Drosophila melanogaster: one gene and its partners. Changing the gene in region 2 together with the main gene of any one other region gives a genetic interaction. Each region holds a gene or a part of one and is shown on either strand. Other genes may lie near its edges.

The links.
Region 1: of Hsp83 (region 2) and Rca1, changing one suppresses a phenotype caused by changing the other (phenotypic suppression), as found in Drosophila melanogaster (one study listed by BioGRID).
Region 3: of Hsp83 (region 2) and cup, changing one enhances a phenotype caused by changing the other (phenotypic enhancement), as found in Drosophila melanogaster (one study listed by BioGRID).

The regions. Positions count from the first base shown.
Region 1 is NT_033779.5:6,850,402-6,854,404, forward strand, and holds Rca1 (regulator of cyclin A1), read left to right. Parts: upstream 1-1,913; 5' UTR 1,914-2,020; coding exon 2,021-3,256; 3' UTR 3,257-3,465; downstream 3,466-4,003. Other genes in the region: l(2)k09022 (lethal (2) k09022), read left to right, coding at 3,845-4,003.
Region 2 is NT_037436.4:3,191,343-3,197,559, reverse strand, and holds Hsp83 (heat shock protein 83), read right to left. Parts: upstream 4,592-6,217; 5' UTR 4,193-4,591; intron 3,062-4,192; coding exon 908-3,061; 3' UTR 501-907; downstream 1-500. Other genes in the region: CG14966 (uncharacterized protein), read left to right, coding at 40-462; CG14965 (uncharacterized protein), read left to right, coding at 5,130-6,217. UniProt on the Drosophila melanogaster protein: Molecular chaperone that promotes the maturation, structural maintenance and proper regulation of specific target proteins involved for instance in cell cycle control and signal transduction. Undergoes a functional cycle that is linked to its ATPase activity.
Region 3 is NT_033779.5:6,661,822-6,666,701, forward strand, and holds the start of cup (cup), read left to right. Parts: upstream 1-1,842; 5' UTR 1,843-2,328; coding exon 2,329-2,766; intron 2,767-3,109; coding exon 3,110-3,970; intron 3,971-4,442; exon of another isoform or gene 4,443-4,529; coding exon of another isoform or gene 4,530-4,880. Other genes in the region: CG13771 (uncharacterized protein), read right to left, coding at 276-1,246, 1,311-1,553, 1,615-1,756; Galt (Galactose-1-phosphate uridylyltransferase), read right to left, coding at 4,530-4,880. UniProt on the Drosophila melanogaster protein: Adapter protein that plays a central role in localization of transcripts in the oocyte and in young embryos. Maintains RNA targets in a repressed state by promoting their deadenylation and protects deadenylated mRNAs from further degradation.

The DNA of each region.
Region 1 (4,003 bases), on a different chromosome or scaffold from region 2:
ACTTTAAATATCATTGCAGTTATCTTCTATATACACCTAAGATAAATCAATGCCTAGCACATATCCCTAGTTCGACTCATTCGGCTCCCATTGACAAAGTCATTAGTTAACATCCCTCTGATCTCAAAGCAAACAGGGTGACCACGACTTCCCAGGACCGAACCAAATGAACCACAGATTAATCCCAAAGCCACGACGACAATTAATATGCTGCCATATCCACGCCCGAAAAAAAAAAAAGATGGGCAAACCGGTCAGTGGAAAAGAGATTAGAACAGTCAAATGACTTTAAATTAAGCCGATGTGCGTCTGTCCGTCGATTTAATTAAAATCAAAACAAAATCTTTGCCCGCCGACACGCCCCTTTTGGTGGCAGCAAATAGACAAATAATAAAACCATAAATAATGCAAAACAATAAACGAGCAAGTATTCATAAATTATTAACGCAGAAGCTGCTGGCCGACAAAAGGCAGCGCAAATACCCAAAATATTTTGCCAAAGCATTTAGAAGGACAATGAGGCACGAACCAGATGACAGAATCCGGGGTAGAATAGCAAATCCCCGCAGCAAATAATTGAGCCTCATAAAGGAAATATCATTCATTGATTTTCCCCCGGCAACCACAACAGATTCTCGACCTCTCATCTTTCCCAGCAAGTGGATGAAGTCGTCGGGCGGTTGCAAATGGTCCTTGGAATGGGAATGGGCACGAGCATGGGTTGGCCAGTGGTGGTGGGTCATGGGGCTTCATTTAGCTGACTCTATGGACAGCTGACGAAACTATCCACCTAGCGGCGAAGGAAGACTTTCACATGAATCCCAAATCTATGCCCCGTCATGATTTGCACAAAAAACTTGAGCTGGCAAATTTGTCAGTGGGCACAAAGGACGCGGCAAAGAAGAAGATGAGGGAAGCGGAACGGAAAAAATCTAAGGACGAGTCAGGGAGAACAAATGATAAATTATTGAGGGATTTTCGTTAATTTGATGACACTGATGATGGCCAAGGCCAGATTATCCTGACTGCCGAATTTTGATTGGGCCAAACAGGGAACAGAAGACATATCTCATAAAATAATTTGTAATGATTTCAATTTTAATAGATATAGATATACTTATGTTCGATTAAAATCTTTTTGTTATAGGCGTAGAAATTTAAATAGCACCATATGTCAGCTAATCGAGAGTATTTTTATAAGCTTATCAACATAATTTTACCAATGTCTTCAAAGCTAAGACGATGAAATACACTTTTAATATATATAATATAATATAATAATATAATATAATATAATAATATAATAATAATATATAAGATGTTAAACGGAATCCCGTTTTTATAAAGTGAATGTTTTCAAACTATTACTTATTTCCATATTTAATAAGTGAAAGTTTTCTATTTTCGAATTGGTATTAAAGCAATAAGCTGAGTATATAGGTATTTATTTTATACTTATGGCGTAAGGCATGGAAATATAATTTATTGAAAGTCAAATTCTTGGTGTTTTTAACTTAATGAACTGATTATACATATTATTTATCACTCTTATTCTTTATTTTACTTCTTTTTTCGAGAGCATTAGTCGCAAGTGCGTCTTCGCTAGCTTTGGAATGTGTACTCGCTAATATGGAAGTATGTACACACTGCATAGAATGAAAAAACGCTATCTTATTCCAGAACCTCAAATCTTGTACAGCTTGAACTCTTTTAGACATGTTTATAAATGGCTGAAGTTGCTTATGTTAATAGGAGTCTACGATTAACTGTCAGATTCCAATAATCCGATCAAGTGGCATCTTTTAATGCACAAGTTTAAATGGTTTGCCTAACAGTCACGATAATATATATCAAATGGTTGGCAACGCGATACGTAGCATTCTGAGTTGACCCGACAATGAACTGGTATCTATTTAGTAGCCAGTTAGTATTTTATTGGGGCGGTCACACTGATCCGTACCCAAAAACAATCAACCGATGCGAAAAGCATAACAATTCGAAAGTTTAAAATTCGGTCAAGATGAGCGCCTATTATCGGCGCGCGGCGTTGCGGAAGAAGAGCCCAAGCCGAGGGTCATCCTTCGAGTTGGAGATGAACGAGTCTGGCTACACATCCTTCCTGGCGCTGCACAATTCCACCGCGGAGACGCCATTTTTATTGGAGGACGCTGAGGGCGAAAACTGTCGCAATGCATCGAATACCACAACATTCTTTCGGGGGCTGAACACGCCCAGTGGCCACCAGGAGCAGGACCTTTACTGGGGCAAGCCCTATCCCAGAACACAGCCCCAAAAGAAATTTTCCGCGGAGGAGGAGCCTTTCTCTATGACTCCGCGTCTGCAGGATGAGCATAGTCTGCCCAAGCGACGCAAGAAACACTTTCAATCGCCACACAGTAGCCCCAAGAAGTCCAAAAAGCTGCTCTTTCCCCACATAGAAGAACCGCCCAAGAATCGCTTCTACGGCGGTGTCGAAAAGCTGGATATCGTGGCCAAGCTGGCGCAATGGCAACCGGCACTGCAGTGCATACTGCGTCATGTGGGCGCCCACACGCTGGACGTGATGACCAAGGTATCGCCGGCCTGGAAGCAGGCTGTTTATCGCAGCCAACGCGACTTGGAGCGCCTACAGAACCACCGACTCAAATTGAATCTAACCAAAGAGAATCCTCACGTGCCCAAGCGGTGCAGCCATGTGCCCAAGGCAAACCACACAGTGCCATTGCAGACCTCGAACCATAGCAGCCTGGCCAACAGCGCCGCCTCGCTAATGGACTCGGGCAACTCGAGCATCCACCTGATGGACGTGGATGCCGGAAGGGTGCTGCGCGAGCAGACGCAGCGCGTCAAGTGTCCGCGATGCGGTCGAGGCAGCCGGGTTTTCATAAGCGAGGCGGCCAAGTGTGGCGAAAACCTATTGTCGCAAACTCTGCCTATTGGACGTACAACCAGCACATTCCCCTGCATGACGGGTCCGCCTCTCAAACGCTTCCTGTCCCTGGATCTTGACGAGGTCAGGACTTCACCGCAAGGACCGCCATATAACTTCGCCGAATGCACCAGTGTCATCTGCCAGTTTCGGTTCTGCGTCAACTGTCTGTGCAAGTCGCATCCCGGCGAGCGTTGCCTGGTCACCGAACTGGACACACCATCCAAACTGATGATGCCACGGGAGCGACTGACGCCGCCACAACGTGCCCAGAACCGTGATCCGAAAATCACAAGGAAGAACTCGCTCAAGCGGCTCTGCTTTTAGCTTTATCATAGGCTTTTAACTATTACGATTAGTATTCGATTTTTTTAAATCTCATTAATTTCGTATTATGTCCATCGCATTAAGTTCCATTTCATCACGTACATTCATATATATGTTTTTAAATCGTTCCATGTAAGGTTTGTCGGAATTCTGTACCTCTGCGAGATTAAGTATTTTTTACACATGCAAAATATATAAATCATTTTTAGAACTATAATTGTTATAATTATAACTGGGGGAAAGTGATTCCTGTTTATTAACATGTAAGGCTTTGTTATTATACATCATTATAACAGGCTTCAAAGGCAGCCTTAATATGTTAGGCAAGTCTTAAAAATATTTTATTATTATTGATTGCATTGCATAAAATAAATTCAAACAGAAAATGTTTAAAATCAGCTGTAGTATACTGGTTTGGGTCTTGGCTAACGCCAATGCGCGCTATTTACCGTAAGCTACTTTGTGTACTGCCAAGAGATCTTTGGCCACACCAACAAAACACGTGTGGAGTGCGGTTGCCGCACATTTATTGTTCTCCGTTTTTACCTTTAATTAACTTGAGAAAAAAGGAAAAAACGATCATCCAAAATGAGTACTGCGTTGGCACAGCAGCTGCAGAAACTGGCTGCGCCGCAGTCGTCGGTAACTTTGGCAGATGCACGAAGTCGCGCCTCCATACTCTTCGATCCCAAGGAGGCGGCCACCAAGGATCGGCGGTCCATTTATGAGATCGGGTTAACGGGACTG
Region 2 (6,217 bases):
TAAAAACACAAAATATTTAAAATAATTGCCAAGAAGCTAATGCGCCGCTTGTTTACATCGGTCAACGCCCAAATAATGTCGAAGAGCAAGGGGAAATCAAAGGCCGGCGTTGAAAGTGCGAAAAACGATGCAAAAGCGATGCCGGCTAAGGAAGCCAGTCCGATTTCAGTCGATAAGAGCGGCAATATATGCATACAAATCCTTGCCAAGCCGGGGGCTAAGCAGAACGGAATCACAGGAATTGGCTTTGAAGGAGTGGGCGTCCAAATCGCCGCTCCGCCCAGCGAGGGAGAAGCTAACGCCGAACTGGTCAAGTTTCTGTCGAAAGTTCTAGGTCTTCGAAAGAGCGACGTTTCTTTGGACAAGGGATCTCGATCGCGAAACAAGATAATAATGATAACCAAGGGAGTGTCCACGGTGGAGGCCATTGAGCAGCTGCTGCGCAAAGAATCCGATTCATAGATTGTTTATTCCCCCCAATAAATACTCGCTCAGAAGTTAGATTTTTAAAACACATTTGCTTGTTGTTTATTTGGTTTTATGTTTATCATCGATCGGGTCATCAAACCTTAATTATATATATACTCGATTCTTTATATAGCTCTACCAACTAGGGCGCGTATGTAGTCTTTAGTTTTTTACATAAATTACTTGGATTCTAAATTATAAGTTCTTAAAACGACAACTGCTCTTGAATGTTCTGTGAGAACCTAACCATTTAACGAGTTATTCCTGCTTTTTTATGAGTTAAGCGTATGTCTGTCGCTTATAACGCGGCAAAATGTTAATGAATACAAAATTTAACTCGGCCGTAGTAAACTCAGTATAAAAGTTCGAAACGCAAGTAAATTGTGTATGTGAATGCGAGTGATAGAATGAATTTTGGTTGTTTGTTTCGACTGGTCGCTTAATCGACCTCCTCCATGTGGGAAGCGTCCTCTGTGTCCTCAACCAGCGAGGGGGCATCTCCGGCGCTCTGGGCATCGTCGGTAGTCATAGGCTCGTCCTCGTCGATTCCCAAGCCCAGCTTGATCATGCGGTAGATGCGGCTGGCGTGCACCTGGGGGCTGTCCAGCGAGAATCCAGAGGACAGCAGAGAGGTCTCGAACAGCAGGATGACCAGATCCTTGACGGCCTTATCGTTCTTGTCGGCATCGGCCTTCTGGCGGAGAGTCTCCACAATTGGGTGATCGGGGTTGATCTCCAGCTGCTTCTTGCCGGCCATGTAGCCCATTGTGGCGGTATCACGCAGAGCCTGGGCCTTCATGATGCGCTCCATGTTAGCGGACCAGCCGAACTGCGAAGTGACAATGCAGCAGGGCGAATCCACCAGGCGGTTGGACACCACCACCTTCTCGACCTTGTTGTCCAGGATGGACTTCATCAGCTTGCACAGGCTCTCGAACTTGGCCTTGTCCTCCTCGCGCTTCTTCTTCTCGCTCTCATCCTCAGGCAGCTCCAGACCCTCCTTGGTGACAGAGACCAGCTGCTTGCCCTTGTACTCCTTCAAGTGCTGGATGACATACTCATCGATGGGCTCGGTCATGTAGACCACCTCGAAGCCACGGGCCTTGACGCGCTCCACGAAGGCAGAGTTGCTGACCTGGTCCTTGGACTCGCCAGTGATGAAGTACACGTGCTTCTGGTTATCCTTCATGCGCGACACGTAGTCGGCCAGGGAGCAGAAATCGTCGCCGGAGGCAGAGGTGTGGAAGCGAAGGAAGTCGGCCAACTTGGCACGGTTGTTGCTGTCCTCGTGCACACCCAGCTTCAGGTTCTTGCTGAACTGGTCATAGAACTTCTTGTAGTTCTCCTTGTCCTCGGTGAGCTCCTCAATCAGCTCCATGGTCTTCTTGACCAGGTTCTTGCGGATCACCTTTAGGACCTTGTTCTGCTGCAGCATCTCACGTGAGATGTTGAGGGGCAGATCCTCGGAGTCGACCACACCCTTCATGAAGTTCAAGTACTCTGGAATGAGGTCCTCGCAGTTGTCCATGATGAAGACACGACGCACGTACAGCTTGATGTTGTTGCGCTTCTTCTGGTTCTCGAAGAGATCGAAGGGCGTGCGACGGGGAATGAAGAGCAGAGCACGGAACTCCAGCTGACCCTCCACGGAGAAGTGCTTGACGGCCAGATGATCCTCCCAGTCGTTGGTCAGGGATTTGTAGAACTCGCCGTACTCCTCCTGGGAGATATCATCGGGATTGCGGGTCCAGATGGGCTTGGTCTTGTTCAGCTCCTCATCCTCAGTGTACTTCTCCTTGATGGTCTTCTTCTTCTTGGCATCCTTGTCCTTCTTGTCGGCATCCTCATCCTCGCCAACATCCTCGATTTTGGGCTCATCAGTCTCCATCTCCTTCTTCTCATCACCTTCCTTCTTCTCATCATCAGCCTCATCGTCGCTGACCTCCTTCTCGCGCTCCTTCTCTACGAGCAGCTTGATGGGGTAGCCAATGAACTGGGAGTGCTTGTTAACAATCTCCTTGATCTTGCTCTCCTCCAGATAGTCGGTCTGGTCCTCCTTGATGTACAGCACGATCTTGGTGCCACGGCCCAGGGGCTCAGAGTTGTCGGCACGGACTGTGAAAGAGCCTCCGGCAGAGGACTCCCACACGTACTGCTCGTCATCGTTGTTCTTGGAGGTGACAGTCACCTTGTCGGCGACCAGGTAGGCGGAGTAGAAACCCACACCGAACTGACCGATCATGGAAATGTCGGCACCAGCCTGCAGAGCCTCCATGAAGGCCTTGGTTCCGGACTTGGCAATGGTTCCCAAGTTGTTGACCAGGTCGGACTTGGTCATACCGATACCGGTATCAATGATGGTCAGAGTACCAGCCGTCTTGTTAGGGATCAGCTTGATGTACAGCTCCTTGCCAGAGTCCAGCTTGCTGGGGTCAGTAAGGGACTCATAGCGGATCTTGTCCAGGGCATCGGAAGCGTTCGAGATCAACTCGCGCAGGAAAATCTCCTTGTTCGAGTAGAATGTGTTGATGATCAGGGACATCAGCTGAGCAATCTCAGCCTGGAATGCAAAGGTCTCTGCTTCTTCTGGCATCTGCAATGGATTTACAAAATCATTAGGATTAGTTATAGTCTGTGGGTTCAACACTAAGGAAAAGCAGCTGCATTTTCAGCAGCTGCTCCGGTTTTATTCTTTTTCTTTCTTTCTCTTTTGCACATGCCTCATTTAACATGCGCATATACAAGTACAGTGGTGGTCAAAATTATAGCATTCACTTTGCAACCCGTAAAATGGAATTTTAATTTCAATTAGCCAACAGAATTGATTTTAAGTTGCAAAATAATGTTTTAAATTTAAATATTTAAATATAATTATGCAAATTGGGTCGGTTGATAATTTTTCTACCCCTGCTGTGTGCAAACTCGTGTCTGTGTGAGTGAGCATTGCATTGAAAATTCGTACTTCACCAAGGAAGTTTGTGGAAGCATCTAGAAGCCAAAGGAAAACTAATTCGCCTAGCAAGTTGCTAGTAGCAACCAACCAATTAAAATAGAGCAAATAGGATTAAAAAACCGATTTAACAGAATTTGCTTACTGACGCCACATTTTTACTTGAAAGTATTAGTCATGGGCGTGCATGTGTGCGTATGCGGCATGTGCAATTTAAAATGGGAATGCAAAGAAAGCACGTGTAATTGTAAATGAAGGACAGTAATTTATAATTAAAAAGCCTATTTGGCACGCTGTTTAATTCATGCTAAAGCATAGAAACCTCTAGAACATTCTCGAGCGGCAAATGTGATTTGCGCATTGTCACCCCCTAAAAAGAGCGGCATAATTCGATTTAGCGCTAAAAGACCATTGCATTAAACAAAAATTAATCTTGTATTCTATAAACCACATGTAATTGTAAATAAAGGACAGTAATATATAATTAAAAGGCCTATTTGGCACGATGTTTAATTCATGCTAAAGCATAGAAACCTCTGGAAGATGCGTCCAAGCGACAAAAAATAAAAGAAACCGGCATTTTGAGTTAATTTGCACGTTGCCACCTCTTAATTAATCAAAAAAAATTCTTAAACTTGGCTCCTAGAAATTTAAAATCAATATCTCACATTTGGGTCAAGAACATTCGAGATGCACAGGACCACGCAAAATGCACATTTTGGCCATAGCCACTGATAAACTATTCACTCTTTTCTTGTAATTTGCATTACTCACCTTGTATGTATGTTTTTCGTTCTATTCACAGAATAAAGGTAAAAATACAGATATTTTCACTTTGCTTTGTATAGAATTGGAAATTCACAAAACTTTTCAGACGCTGCTTGTTGTTACGACGCACACCGTACGAAATTTTTTTCAAGACTCGAACCGGCAAACGCCGCGCGTCTGCTTTTATAGAAAAACCCGACCCGAACTGGAAGTCTCTAGAAACTTCTAGAGGCTTCTGGATGCCAGGGATGCAACTTCCTGTGAATACTAGGGTAGATCAGTGTTGTGATACGGTCGAAAAGTGCGCAACCTGTGCGGGCGAATTCAAAAATTATACTGAACTAAGTTTGGTGGAAATTCGTCTAAGTGGTCCGAACGATTGAGCAAAGCCCACTGGGATTGCTTAAAACATTACAATTGGATATCAAAACGCCCACTAGGCTTATACTGTAATTAGGAAAATGGAAAATTTAATTGTTCCCAATATTATTTTACTTGTTTTAACAGTAAATAATAAACAAATCAGCTTATGACCTGTTAATTTTTATTTATATTTATGAATACTTTTCTCCACCAGACTATCGATATTTCCAGAGTTTCAGAGACTTGGTGGTGCAAGCTGGTTCCTCTGGAATAAACTAGTTCCATTTTAAGCGGACGGTAAAATTTGAAATCACTTGAGTGGGTTTGGGGAACAAAAATTGGAAAGTTTTTGTTGTAATTAGCTAAAAAGCAGACATTTCACATTCCGGAAAATAATTGCTTCTGTGCAAAACCTGCTACAAGCCCAGTCAAGTAAAAAATCTCTCATTAATTAAGAAGTGTCATATCGATCATTTGGTTTCGGTCAATTCTGTTATCGATGCCTCCCATCGATATCACCAGCTGACGCTAACACTTCCACCACTAATAACATAAAAGTTGTTTGCTTATATTTAAACAAATGGGCGGCACTAAGTGTTGTTTTCGTGATTGTCCGGTGGGTTCTAGCCGCAACCCCAATATGCACTTCTTCAAGTTCCCCGTTAAGGATCCGAAGAGGTTGAAAGATTGGGTCAGGAATTGTTCAAACCCTGACGTTTCAAATGCACCGCCGTCCAAACTGGCAGCCAAAACAGTTTGTGCCCGGCACTTTCGAGCGGAATGCTTCATGAACTACAAAATGGACAGACTCATCCCAATGCAGACGCCCACTTTGTTCAGGATCAACAGGGATCTGGCACTAGACTATGAAAATCTCGACCAGAACGGTGAAGCTCTTCTCGTGAAGTTGACGCCTCCAAAGCAGCAACACCTAATACCACCTAAAGATTTCGAGTGTCCTCTGGGATTCGTGGATGGTGAGACACAGAATTTGGATGTTGTTAAGAAACGAAATACAGTAGAGTTGACAGAAGAGGAGGAACCGCAAGGGAAAGACGAAGCCGACGAAGTGCTGGCTACGGAGCAGGAACAGCCGGTTGTACACACGGAGAAAACAACGGTGGCGCATAAGAGTTCTACAACATCAACAAGCGCTTCGGCTATGCCTCAAAACATTCTAGATATCATAAGTCAACTTCAGCCTTCATTGGGCATCAAATTGATTAAAAGACCAGTAAAGCGTCAATCAGGAAGCGAGAATGAGTTGTTTCAGCTTGAAGAGCAGCTCCCAAAAGAACAAACTGATGATACAAGCAAGATGCGAACAGTCACCAAGGAATCAGAAAAGCAAATTAAATCAAAAAGTTGTATTATTGACGTTATGAAAATGCCAAAGCTTGCCGATAAATGTCAAGAAAAGCAAGTGCCAACTAGAAAAGAGTACCGACCAATTAAAGGGACTGTGGTTAGAAAACGTGGGATGCAGGAGGCAGATGCTGATAGACTGAACGAAGATGAATCCACCAAGGAGCAGGCTAAGAAAAGGAAGCTACCCCAAGAAGCACAAAAGACTGACTCCCACGCTTCACCTGAGAACGGTACGATATTGAACCGATATACACAATTGCAAGAGAAATTCTGGGATGAGCAGAAGACTCCGATGTTGGA
Region 3 (4,880 bases), on a different chromosome or scaffold from region 2:
TGGTATGTGTATGTGCAGTTTTATAATTAGTGGTTTTTAAAATGTATTCTTAATCCATTTTTTCCTGTCAACCGAATTAATTAACAAACAATGTGTACGAATAACATGCAAAGGATAAATTATTGTAGTCATATTTGGTTTTGTGTTCACAATATGTTTACATATATGTTTAAATAAACGGCGTTTCGCTGAAAAAATGTGTATATTCAATTAATTCATCAAATGAAAATATCTATAATGCAAATCGACAGCATATGTTTTATTAAATCCAATCTCTAATTGTCTTTTTTCGCTCCATTGGTTTCTACGGCAGATCCATTGTCCATGTCGTGACTTACTGATTCACGGAATCGATTGAAGTAGCGACGACCAGTTAGGTACCACAGCGCCTCGTGATAGCTTCTGGGAAGGATCTCCGGAACTGCTTTGCTGCAGGAGTAGGTCAGGTGCAGCACATTGCACTTAAGCTCCGTAAAGCTATTGCCATCGATTGCATTCACCACCGTCAGCAGCTGAATGTAGTTTTCGTGGGTGAAAACCACGTACGCCTTCAGTTTTATATAGCTATGGACGGGAATGGAATGGGCGAACGTAACGTCCGCAATGAAGCGGATCATGCAACGCTGGTTGGAGTAGAGGGAGGCTGTCATGTAGCTAATCTCGATAGCCTTGCGGATGATGAACCCTCCGAAAATGGTGTTCGATTCGTTTCGGTTCTCCGGGAACGGATGCATCAGGGTTCTGCGGCGCCACGTGGACATCCAGCGGGAATTCGGTGGTAGAGTAGTCATATCACTCGGCGAAGGTCCGTCATCGCCCTTGGTTCGGGTAAATAGCTCGTACATGAGCTGCTGTTCCTCCTTGGTGGGCTGCTGCGACTCCAGGCGATACAACGCTTTGGCACGCTCCTGGTGCCGCTTCTGCGCTTCCTGGTGTAAACTTTCTTCCAGCTCATTGGCCGGCACCAGAGGATTGACAGGAGCAGGGCCATTATTGATGGCATCGCGAGCCTCTACCACAAAAATGCCCTTTGCCAGCAACATTCCGCTTTGTCGCACATATGCCGTGACCTCCATGAAGTTATTGTCCGTATATGAAACGTGACCGGAGAGGGACACATCTGCATCCGCAATAAACTTGTCTTGCAAGAAGTGGGCGTGGTCCACCAGCATGGTGATAAAAGTGTATGGCAGCGGCACACCCTCCGGCAGATTGGGCAGATGGATGTGAAGATGGCAGATCCACACTGCAAGGCCACTCTCATTAATCAGGTATTTGGAGTAGTTAGTTAGTATACTTTACTTACTTACCTGCAAGAAGGTCAAGTTCCTCAATTATCCTGCCCATGCGAAGCAAGCCTCGCCCGTAAACGAATCGTTGCCTCAACAGAGCATCTGTTTCCAGGAGCACCTGGGCAGTCGTTTGTGAGTCCAGCATGGAGCGATTGGGCAGTTCGTCTTGCTTCGGCTGAAACTTGAGCAGTCCATCCCGGCTCTTGGGAATGATGTGGTAGCCTCCTTCCACGCCGACGTGCTCACGGATTTTCTTCGCCACTGTGCTTGGTATTGGGAGTTGGATAAGTGGACGATAATGTGGAGGTTTACCCGCGGTTACCATCTGCCATCGTGCCCGAGCGGTGCCCCGAATCCAGCAGCTCCCTCCCGGATTCCATGAACGAGTGACGAATTGCACCCAGTTGGTGCCACGGGTGTCGCACGGCGATCACCCTTCTGCCAAAGTGCTGGCTCAAATTCATTTAAATTTTGGGTTTGTGTGCTCCGCTATATTCATATGTATAGTTGTCAAATAATAAGATACAGTACGTTAAAATCGTTTGCACTTAATTTTTTAAATTTGTAACAGAATAACGGCTTTTATGTAATCGAAATCTTAAGAATCACAAGTACTAGTTTCCAAAGTTATCACGTTCCAGGCTTAGCTACTTTCTGTTGTCAAAAGTAAATGTCGTAGCGCATTATTAATAAATTCGCTGTTTTGTTTAGGAATCAAAGAATTAACTATTTGAAAGCTGTATAAGTCGCAGATCAGTGTTTGTCAACACTGGTCAATCCATCCTCCATCTTCCACCATTCGCTTTCGGTATTTTTTCCTATTCCTGTCCTGCTTACTCATCGTAGCAGCGCCGAATAACGGATCCTAAGATCGAACGAACCTGTGCTAAACGTGATTTCGTTCAATTTCTCATACATTTCAATATATTTGACCCGATCAAAAGTACTCGTTTTAAGTTTTAACCAAAAAAAAAACCAACAATTAGTGAGTATGGACCCTATGAAAGAGGAGGCGATCGAATTGAATGGCCATGCTATGCAAATGGCCGAAGCTGAGCAAGAAAATGGCGCTGGCGCCCTGAAAATTGCCACCAATGCGGGTGCAACCGATCGTCCAGCGCATCAGCAGCTTCCGCTGCCAGTCGAAGATCAGCAGGATGAGGTGCTGACCCCCGCTGAGAAGGGCAAGTTCGAGTACCCGCCCCCTCCACCGCCACCAACTCCAGTCCAGGCTCCGCTAGCCACCAAGGCCACCGCTCTGAATGCCAGTCAAGAGCATGACGACGACGAGGCCAACTCCGAGAAGTGGGAGGATCCGTGCGCTCCGCCCCCGCCTCCTCCGCTGCCGACTAGCGCTTTCCTGGCCACCGGACTGGGCTACCTCAAGCTGCCCGCCTTCAAGCTGAAGGACGCACTGGAGAAGGCCATCACCAAGTTGGAGGCCAACAAGCGGACGCTAAAGGCCAGCCCTGAGGTGAGTTCATTACATATAACATTTTTAATTTTATTATTAGCAGTGCACACTGTTGTCAGATTATATATTTATATTGAAATACATTTTAAATTTAACTTTTCTTGAGTCAAACTTGATATTAGTCTAAAATCTTCGCAATATTTATTGGCCAACAAAGCACAGTATTAAACACGTAAATGGTATTAGGAATCAGAGCAGCTCTGATACAAATGTCGTTAAAAATTTAGTTAAAGAAACTTTGACTTGGCATTCATATATTCGACACTTATTTTACATCGAGTACAGACAGGCACTCTCATATATCATGAAGTTTTTTCAATGTTGTTTTTATTTTGGCAAACAGTCTTCTCGTTCCATCAAAAACAAGAATGTGGTGGCCCTGGAGATGTTACCCAGGCGCTCAAACCCAGAAACGATCGGCGATGGATCCATGTTGGCATCCACATCCACGGCTGTTATGCTGCAGACCAAAAAGCCCGCCGTTATTGTGGAGATGGAGAGGCGTTGTAAGATCATCAATTTACTGGCCAAACAGAATCAAATCCTCGAATCCATTTCGGGGGAGGCCATTCCGATGCATGGACCCTCGAAGCATCTGCACGAGGACGAGGGTCTGACCCTGCAAGTTCTCTCGGCCCGAGCATCCACACCGTACACACAGCCCTCCAGCATGTTGTCCTGCACGGCCGTTAGTTGTGACCTGGAGCACGATTCGCCGCGGAAGCAAGTGGCCAGCAAGGAGGCCGTGCCGGAGCAGCAGTCTAGTCAGGTGCAGCAAAAGCGTCCACCCAGCACAGGCATTCACAAGCCAGGAAGTCTGCGAGCACCCAAGGCTGTTCGTCCTACTACTGCTCCGGTGGTCAGCAGCAAGCCGGTCAAGAGCTATACCCGCTCCCGCCTGATGGACATTCGCAACGGGATGTTCAATGCCCTGATGCACAGGTCCAAGGAGAGCTTTGTGATGCCTCGCATCGCCACCTGCGACGACATTGAGTTGGAGGGAAGGCTTCGCCGCATGAATATTTGGCGCACCTCGGACGGCACAAGATTCCGGACCCGCTCCACCACAGCTAACTTAAACATGAACAACAACAACAACAATGAGTGCATGCCTGCCTTCTTCAAAAACAAAAATAAGCCGAACCTAATCAGTGACGAGTCCATCATCCAGAGCCAACCGCCCCAGCCGCAAACGGAGTTCCAAGTAAGCTAGTTAAACTTATACTATTCTACTCAATTTTGCCATATATTCTATATAAAATAGACTTGGTTAGCTTAATGGAAAACTTATGATTTGAAAAGGAAAAAGTGATTGTGACAGTGCGGTAATTGTTACAGTTACACATGGCGTCGATTCATTTGAGTACCTCGACCATCTGATACCCCTTCCTTTGTAGGCCAAATTGTCTTTTTGGTCTGCTCAGAAAAGCTCTTTTATGAAAAATCATATTTCCCGCCTTTTCTGCTTAGAAAAAATCGCTTAATCGATTAAGAACATTTTCCCCACTTTTGCATTAGGTAACACAAAGTCGCATTATTCCTGAGCTTATCTGATAAATCAATGATTGCATTGCATGACCTCCAGAGGTCTTTGGCAATCATGCTGATCATTGGCTGGACCCTCGCCACAGTCAAATCACTAATCTAGAACATTTTACAACTGATTGCGAATAAGTATGAAGTAATTACTACAGTCGTATTAGACTATTTCCTTTTATTGAATTCTAAACCATCTGGGATTCTACAAATACCCTCGAGCGAAATCACTTCTCTAGATAATGACACTTTCCATCGACCTCCCGCAACCTTTGGGCTGCCTGTTCGGGAGTCAGATCCCGCTGGGCCATGGCCAGCAGCTCAAATCCCACCATGAACTTGCGCACGGAGGCAGAACGAAGCAGCGGCGGATAGTAGATGGCGTGCAGGGTCCAATGAGCACTGGATGCGTGGGCATGCTCCGGCCCAGTCGGTGCTCCATGCCAACCCATCGAGTAGGGGAATGAACACTGGAACAGATTGTCATACTTGGTGGTCAGCTCCTTTATGGTCAGCGCCAAGTTGTATCGCTGTTCTGCGGTAAGATCATTGATCCGCTTATTGTTGTTGCGTGAGAT